Linked DNA regions of Struthio camelus. The protein of the gene in region 1 interacts with the protein of each later gene in a biochemical or structural test. Links are inferred from orthologs where the notes say so. Each region holds a gene or a part of one and is shown on either strand. Other genes may lie near its edges.

The links. The genes of interacting proteins can lie anywhere in the genome.
Region 2: the proteins of ITPR1 (region 1) and CABP1 form a complex in vitro, tested with the Homo sapiens proteins (2 studies listed by BioGRID). The link is inferred for Struthio camelus from reciprocal best matches to the Homo sapiens genes ITPR1 and CABP1.

What each region holds. Positions count from the first base shown.
Region 1 is NC_090955.1:2,743,282-2,747,024, forward strand, and holds the start of ITPR1 (inositol 1,4,5-trisphosphate-gated calcium channel ITPR1), read right to left. Parts: upstream 2,674-3,743; 5' UTR 2,480-2,673; coding exon 2,454-2,479; intron 1-2,453. UniProt on the Homo sapiens protein: Inositol 1,4,5-trisphosphate-gated calcium channel that, upon inositol 1,4,5-trisphosphate binding, mediates calcium release from the endoplasmic reticulum (ER).
Region 2 is NC_090958.1:8,013,924-8,017,666, forward strand, and holds the start of CABP1 (calcium-binding protein 1), read left to right. Parts: upstream 1-1,441; coding exon 1,442-2,032; intron 2,033-3,743. UniProt on the Homo sapiens protein: Modulates calcium-dependent activity of inositol 1,4,5-triphosphate receptors (ITPRs). Inhibits agonist-induced intracellular calcium signaling.

The DNA.
Region 1 (3,743 bases):
AGTGTTCGAAGCAAACGGGATTGGGTCCTTAATGTTTCTGGTTTAGGCCTAGTAAGCTGACATTTCTTGAATGCGTTCACTGACTCCCCAGATTTTGGTGAGAGTCAGGTGCTTAAAACACTTTGCTAAAACCAAACTTTATAACAAGATTACCTGATCAAAAATTTGGCTTTACAGGCTTGGTCCAAAGTTGCTCTTAACTAAGAGATTTTTTTTCTAACGATTTCAATGCTTTGGATAGGACTCTAGCATGAGGTATCTATTTTTACAGGTGCAGCTAACTTTTTAAAAACTGAAACGAAAAATTGTTTCCCATCCTTATTTTAAAAGATAGGAGGTTTCCTCCCTAAGGGCTATGACAAAAGAATCATAAGCATTCCATCAAAACAGCCCAAGAGGAAGTGCTCCATGCAAAAGATCATCCAGCAAATAATCACTCTTCTGGGGCTGCAGAAGGAAACACTGTCCTTTTCAAAGCTTCTGATTTAGCAAATCTAGAAGGGGCTCTTGGCATACATGCACACAACATGGAAAGACAAATACAGCACAGTTTGGGTGACAGAGCAAAAAGGCAGTTGGCTCCTGACAACCATGGTAAGGGCCATACAGCAAGCAGAATAGCCCAGAAAAGTTCATTAACTCCTTAGTTGAACACTAGGTCAACAGTAGAGCGAAATTCAGAAACTTCTCAGACACCAACACTGTTTACAGCGCACGGAAGATGACAACGGCACAGGGAATCACAGGCACGCTGTCTCGAACATTAGATTTTTTTCCTTTCTCACCCTCGCATGCTTTCAGTCGGAAGTAGCTAAGAATTGTGTGAAGTATTGACAGGGTTATGTACTGCTAATTTCACGCACATGTACGTACACTTTGGAGATTACATTTAAAAAAATATAAACTTGGTATGTTTATCTACCACTTGATCTTGTTTTCCACTTACTGCTACCTTTCATGTCCAGGAGCCTGCTATCTGCAGACAAACTGTCATTTGATGAACGGGTAGATTAAAGAGGAGAAACGTACTTTCACAGAGAAAGTATTTTTCTTCCTAATGCTTAGAATGTAGCAGATTCTCCAACAGTTTGCAGTCTAAATAGACAAGACGGAGAACGTGAAAGAGGGGAAGGAGGAAGCAGCACAGTGCTATGACTTACTCAAGGTCATGCAGGAGGTTAGACTCAGAGCCTGGATTAGGATCCACGTCTCCTGAATCCTCATCCACCACTCCATACTGCCTCTCCTCTCTCAGGAGGGAGTTCAGCCCTATTGCACTTCCAATCAAGCATATTCTTCTCTTTCATTGAAAGAGGTTAGAGGAGGCAAGTAAATTCATACAGCGAGATGGTGGCTAAGTTAATTATGTTCTATTCCTACTGCATGCCACGTCACAGATAAACTCATTTTTTATAGTTACCCTACAAATGATGAAGTTATTCAGAAGTGACTAGTAGGTGCAATAAAAGTCAGCTTAAAAAAAAAAAAGAGGAGAGAGAAAAGACATAAAGCAACTCATTTTGTTAACTTAAACCTGAATGAATACTTAATACAAATAAGCAAACATCCGTGACATCCTTTTCTCCTCAGAAAGGATGCACACATTTCTTGATTTGTCCAATGCAACCAGATAGGAAAATAGTCACGCCAAACTTACAGAAAGTTAAAGTTGAAAAGAAAACACCCATAATTGCGCTAAGCAGAAGTTACACTTTGACAGACATATCTTATACAGCAGCCATTACATTGATATAATAAACGCAACTAACAGATCCTCATTGATAGATATTTGAAGAAAGCCAAAAAAACTACTGGGGGCACGCTGTCAGGAAGAAAAAAAAAATTTTTTTTTTAAAGTTTCAGACCAAGTACGACCTGATAGCAAATTTTCAATTCTATTAAAACTAAGAAGCACTTCAGTAAGTATCAACTTCTGAAAGTTGATACTTATTGGCTCTCACCCTGAGGGGAGAAAGCAGCTTAGACGCCAGCCTCTGGACGAGGCCCCTACAAGCACACTGTTTTCCAGAATATTTCTGTTAGAAGGAGAGTGTAGGAACATGCCAAAAGAACCCGGGCCGCCAATGTCATGGGGAATGAGAGCAAGCTTGGTTTATAATATCTACTGGAGTTTGGCCAAAGAAGAAAAGTGGCCAGGGAAGAAGAACGTACAGAACAGTCCCAATTTCATTTTGCATGGCCATATATCTACTGAGGCTTCAGCACAGAATGCTCTATCTCCTACAGCCTCTTTTGTCAGGTATGAGCCCCCCTGCTACCTCACAAGATGCAAGCTCTTCAGCAAATGCAATACTCCCTAAATTTACCAAAGCATTTTCCTTTTGTCTGTCAGTCTCATTAGCCCTCTGTTCATCTCCCTCTGACTACCTGCCCAATACTTGCATCCTTCCCATGCCCTATACTCCCCAGTTCTTCCTTTGCCAATACTTCACCTTGGTGGGGGTTCTCTGGCCTCCATGGCAGTGTTTGAGCCTTGTGCTGAGACTGGACTCGGCTGAATGGCTCCTGGTAGCTTCAGGTCCCTGCCAGTAATGAAATTAATGCTTTTCCCCTACTAGCAGGTCTCTTCTGTTGAAGGCTTGCAAGTCCTCTCTCGTCCTCCAGCTACAGCAACCCTTACGAGGGTTAGCTCACTGGTCTTCCTTCCTAGATACCTCAGCAGGCATCTAGGTCTGCAGTGAAAAACCTAAATGCCTGTGAGAGGCAGCCAAAGAGGAGGAGCCACTACCACCACGTGATTAGCACGTGTGGAGAACCACTGGTGGCCAGGGGACCTACTTTGAGCCCTACTGATCTAAAAAAAGCCCAATCAAGTTGGGCTCCTTTACAGATGAAGCCTCCAGGTTCCAGACTGACTTGTACATGTTGGTCCCCCAACAGTAATTTTCTAGAATGCAAACATGAGTCATTCTTCTGAAGCAAAGGTTCAAAATACTGCACCAGCTTAGCTCACAAAGAACATCAGCAACTGAATCTGCTTAACCCTTACATACGGAGGAGTGACCAAGGACTGTTGAGTTATTTTAACCATAAGATGAGTTAAGTTTTCAATTAACCCTTTAGACCAAGGATCATTAGCCAAACCTGAAAGGGTTAGGTATCTGTCTTTGTGTCCATGAATCTCCTGTTGGAATGGGATAGAAAGGACATATCTGGACATCACACTCACGCAATCAGTGCTTTTTTCCTCAGAACTTCTTGGTAGATTTCTGAAGAAGAAGATAGGATGTGCCAGGGTAGAGAAGAATTTTTATTTTGTTATTTTATTTTATTACAAAACCTTCATCCTAAATTGCTACTAAAGAATTCCTGGAACAAACAAACAAATAAATAAAAATCAACCAACCAACCAGAAAAAGCTAGTCTTCTGGCAGTGGCCGTTTTTTGACCTACTTTGGTCAGACACACTTCTTATCCACATATGCACAGAGATTACCGTCTTCTAACTCCAGACATCTTGCACAAGACAGGGATGATGAGAGAGAGAACTGCTTATGTATACATTATTACATCTGGATTCAATATTCAGACTTCTTTCCCTGTAACTTAGTAGCAGATTACTCCAAAAGAAGAATTATCATCTAATGTCCTAATCCAGAAAGTTGCTTCATTCGGCCCTCAGTCTGCTCAGAGCTATTTACTATTCTTTGCTACTCTGTTCAGTAGAATGATCAATGAGGTATAAACACTAAGCTTTCTGCAATGCTCCTTATATTAGCATT
Region 2 (3,743 bases), on another chromosome or scaffold:
TCCTGCCAAGCGCCCAAAGCAGGAAGGGGGCAGAGGGACCAAGCGCCCCTCTTTGCTGTCCTGCGGACGGATGTGGGGCATGCTGTGGGGAAGCTCTGCTCGGCCGCTGCGTGTGCTGAGCCCGCAGCGGAGGGGACGGAGCGCACGCTGAGGCCGGGGCTGCAGCACAACCCGCTCGCTGCGGTGGCTCTGATCCCGCCAGCGTGCGCAGCTGCGGTGGCGAAGGCTCAGCAGCACGGGCTAGAGCGAGACCCGGGCTGCAGAGAGAAGTTGCACTTTGGTTGTTGCACTGAAGACTGTGTCATCACACAGTAACTGCTGTGCATGTGCCGGCAAGAGCAGAGCTAGCATGAGTAAGCTTATTATGCTATAATCACACCTTCCTCTTTCTGGGGACGTAAACTGCTGAGGTATCCAAGTGTGGCAGCGAGGCACAGGCGCTGCCTGAGCCGGAGGCTTTCCTCGTTGGGAACATGTCCGATTTGACACCAGTACCTGCGGCTGTTTTTAAGCAGAGCATGATTATTGAACTTTATAGCCTACCTATCGCCCCTTAAAATAAATAGCCGTGTTTGAGTACAAAGAAGTTAAGTAATCTGCTTTTTAGATGCAAACTCCTTTATGTTTGTATCATTTTATGTTGGGCCCTAGTGGAACCTCTATGTCTGCTTCACAGGCTGGACCAAAAGGTCCCCTGTGTGCTGCCTCGGACAGGTGGAGGCTGCCCACTGACCCTCTGCTCCTGCATTTCGGGAAATCGGGGCTTTGGATCAAGGCTTTGAGCCCTCTCACAATGGTAAGGCCTTTGGGTGCTGACCCATCGTGCCAGTATCCGTCCGTGGTCTCACTTGGGTAGGCTGAGCACAGCAGGCAGGGCGCCCAGGTGGGCCAGGGCGCGCGGCGGCGTGCCGGCGTGCTGGTCCCGCTCCCGGAGCGGGCGCCCGGCTCACCCCGCAGCCCCCTGCCTCCTCGGCTCTGCCCTGGGGTGAGTCGCAGGGCACCGGGGGCGCTGAGCACCTCCCCGGCGGACAAGACGGGGGGGAGGAGCGGGCCTCAGGGCCGGGTCTCCCCGCCCGGTAAACCGAGGGCAGCGCCTCTTCGGGGGGTGTGGGGGGGGGGTGTTGCTGAGCCGCAGGGCAGCGCCGTGCCGCCCCGGGGACCCTCCCCGCCCGCGCCGCCCCCGGCGGGGGGAGGCGGCGGCTCACCTGGAGCGGCGGCGGCGGCGGCGGCGGCGGCGCGGGGGGAGCCCGGCGGGGCCGGAGCCCGGCAGCCCCCGCGGAGCGCCCCGTGCGCGGCCTTTGTCTGCGCCGTCACATGGGCCGCGGTGCGGGATTTAAGCGGGTCTCCGCAGGACATGCCGTGAGCGGCGCGCCGCAGCCCGGCCCGCAGCGGCGGCGGCGGCGCTCCGCCCGGCCGGGGATGCGGCTCTAGCGGCCCGGCGATGAGCGGCTCCTCCATGGCGAAGAGCGAGTCCCGCACTTCGCTGCTGAAGGCGGCGGGCGGCAGGAGGGCGGCGGGCGGCCAGCCCCGGGACCGGGACCGGGACCGGGGCCGGGGCCGGGGCCGGGGCGGGCCGGCGGGGAGGGAGCCGGGCCGGGAGCCGCTCCCCGGGGAGCCCAGCGCCCGCAGGCCGCTGTGCCGCCCGGGCGCCCCGGAGGACGCGGGGCGGCTGTCACATGGCCGGGGGCAGAGCCCGCCGGAGCCGGCGGAAGGAGGGCCGAGGCGAGGCGGCGGCAGGCAGCCGGCGCGGACATCCCGGCACCGCCGCCGCCTCCCGCCGCACGCCGGCCCCGGCCGCCCCCCGGAGCAGCCGCCGCTGGCGGACGGCGATGGGGAGGAGGCGGAGGAGGACTTTTCCTTCAGCGCCGGGCAGCGGTCCAGCAGGGAGTCCCTGAAGCTGCCGGAGGGCGCTTCGCCTCTGTGCAAACCCAGCAGCAAGTGCTCCGCCAAGTCGGGCAGCAGCGACCGCTCGCCGGACGCGGACCCGCTCCTGCACCAGCTGCGCCCCATGCTCAGCTCCGTCTTCGGGCAGGTAAGAGCCGGCGGCGGCGAGCGCGCTGCGCCCCGGCGCGCCTCCCCCGGGCCAGCGGCGCGGCCGGAGGGCGCGGGGCGGCGGCGCCGCCGAGCTCGGGCTCGTCCCCGTCCCCGTCGCCGCCGCCGCCGCCGCCGGCCCGGCCGCCCTCGGGCGGCTGCCGCCGGGGGACGCGCTGTGCTCTCCCCGGCTCCGGCGGGGGAAGTTGTGGCTCTGCCTGGCGAGGGTGAGAGTCAGAGAAGCGAAAAAAAATTTTTTTTAAATCTATTTACTTATTAGATTCCATCTCTCTGGCTCCCCGCCTTGCTTTGCTGTATTTGTTTACATCTCCTTATGGTGCATTTCTGTACAATCAGCATATGAATCACTCCTGATGGCAGAAGCTGTCAGGGGAAGGTAGTGAGGAAGACGACAAAAAAAATCCTGACCCAGTTCCGAAGCCTTCCCAGTCACTACGTTGGGATGGAACAGATGCTTTTGGTGTTTGCAAGCTCTTTGGGTACAAAGCTGTCGTTTTTAGCTGCTTCTGGTAGTGAAATTACCCAACAGGGCTACCCTTCGAAAATGAAAAGGCAGAGGGAGACTGGCTTGAAATTTTCTTTTAGAGCCATTTAGGGATGTTACTGGGAGATGTAATCTCCAGGAAGATTAATGTAACTGCAGTCGCCCAGAAGCACAGTTATAGGTATAAGCCAGCAGCCTGGAGGGCTAAGTTCCAGCCCTGGAAGTGATCGATTAAACCAGAATTATGATTTGTGGGTTTTGTTGTTGGTTGTTGGGTTTTTTTTAAGCTGGTTTGGAAGGCTTTGCAGAATGCTCATTCAAATTATGATTATGGAGTGAACAAGAAGAATCTTTGTAATTGGGGGAAGGACATGATGCTCCCGTGTCTTATTTAGTTTGGTCTCAGAAAGTGTTGTCTACCTCTGTTCACCTTGACTTCTCCAGAGAAAAATCAAACCTCATCTGTTCTCCTTCTCAATAATTTTGCATCCTCAGTGACAGTCTGTTGATTTATGAATGTTACTGTTGTGTTTAACTCGGAACTAATATTACCCCTTCTGTGCCACCAGTATACCAGAAGCCTAGATTAAAATGTTGTAGTTGCAATAAGGAAGGGTCTAGTGAATGGCCAGCTGCTCAATTAGGTAACAAAAAGCAATATTTCGATACCGGACTTTGAAATCCATGGGCTCGGCTCTGTCTTCTGCTGTCCCTGTAGTTCTGACAGAAGTGAGGTGCATCTAAGAAGAAGGTTTTAAGTCTAACCGGCACTGTACGTTCCGAAATGTCAGAATTAGGAACAAATCCATGCCAGGACTCCCCCTCACAACCCCCCGTCTGGCTTGGAGCTCCGTCCTTGCCCCAGCTGCGCCGGGACCGAACGGCATCGCTATTTTACCTGTTTTGCTGCTTGCATTCCAAAGTCGTGAGACACTTTTGAATGCCATAAACTTAGCAAAATTTAATTCCAGCGTTGAACAATGCTACTTACAGAAAAGAGACAGATATGATTCTAGCTTTAGTTCTTTCGCTCAGTACCTAGCACCCGTGCTTATAAACAAACACCAACATCTTTCTTTCGGAGTGTAGCGCTCTTTATTCCCATTTCTGTCTGTATTCATCTGTCACTTGCTTTCTTTGAAGTAACTATGAGAAAACGACCATCTAGTGGTGATTTTAGGACTGGCTTTTAGGAGTAGGTTGTAGC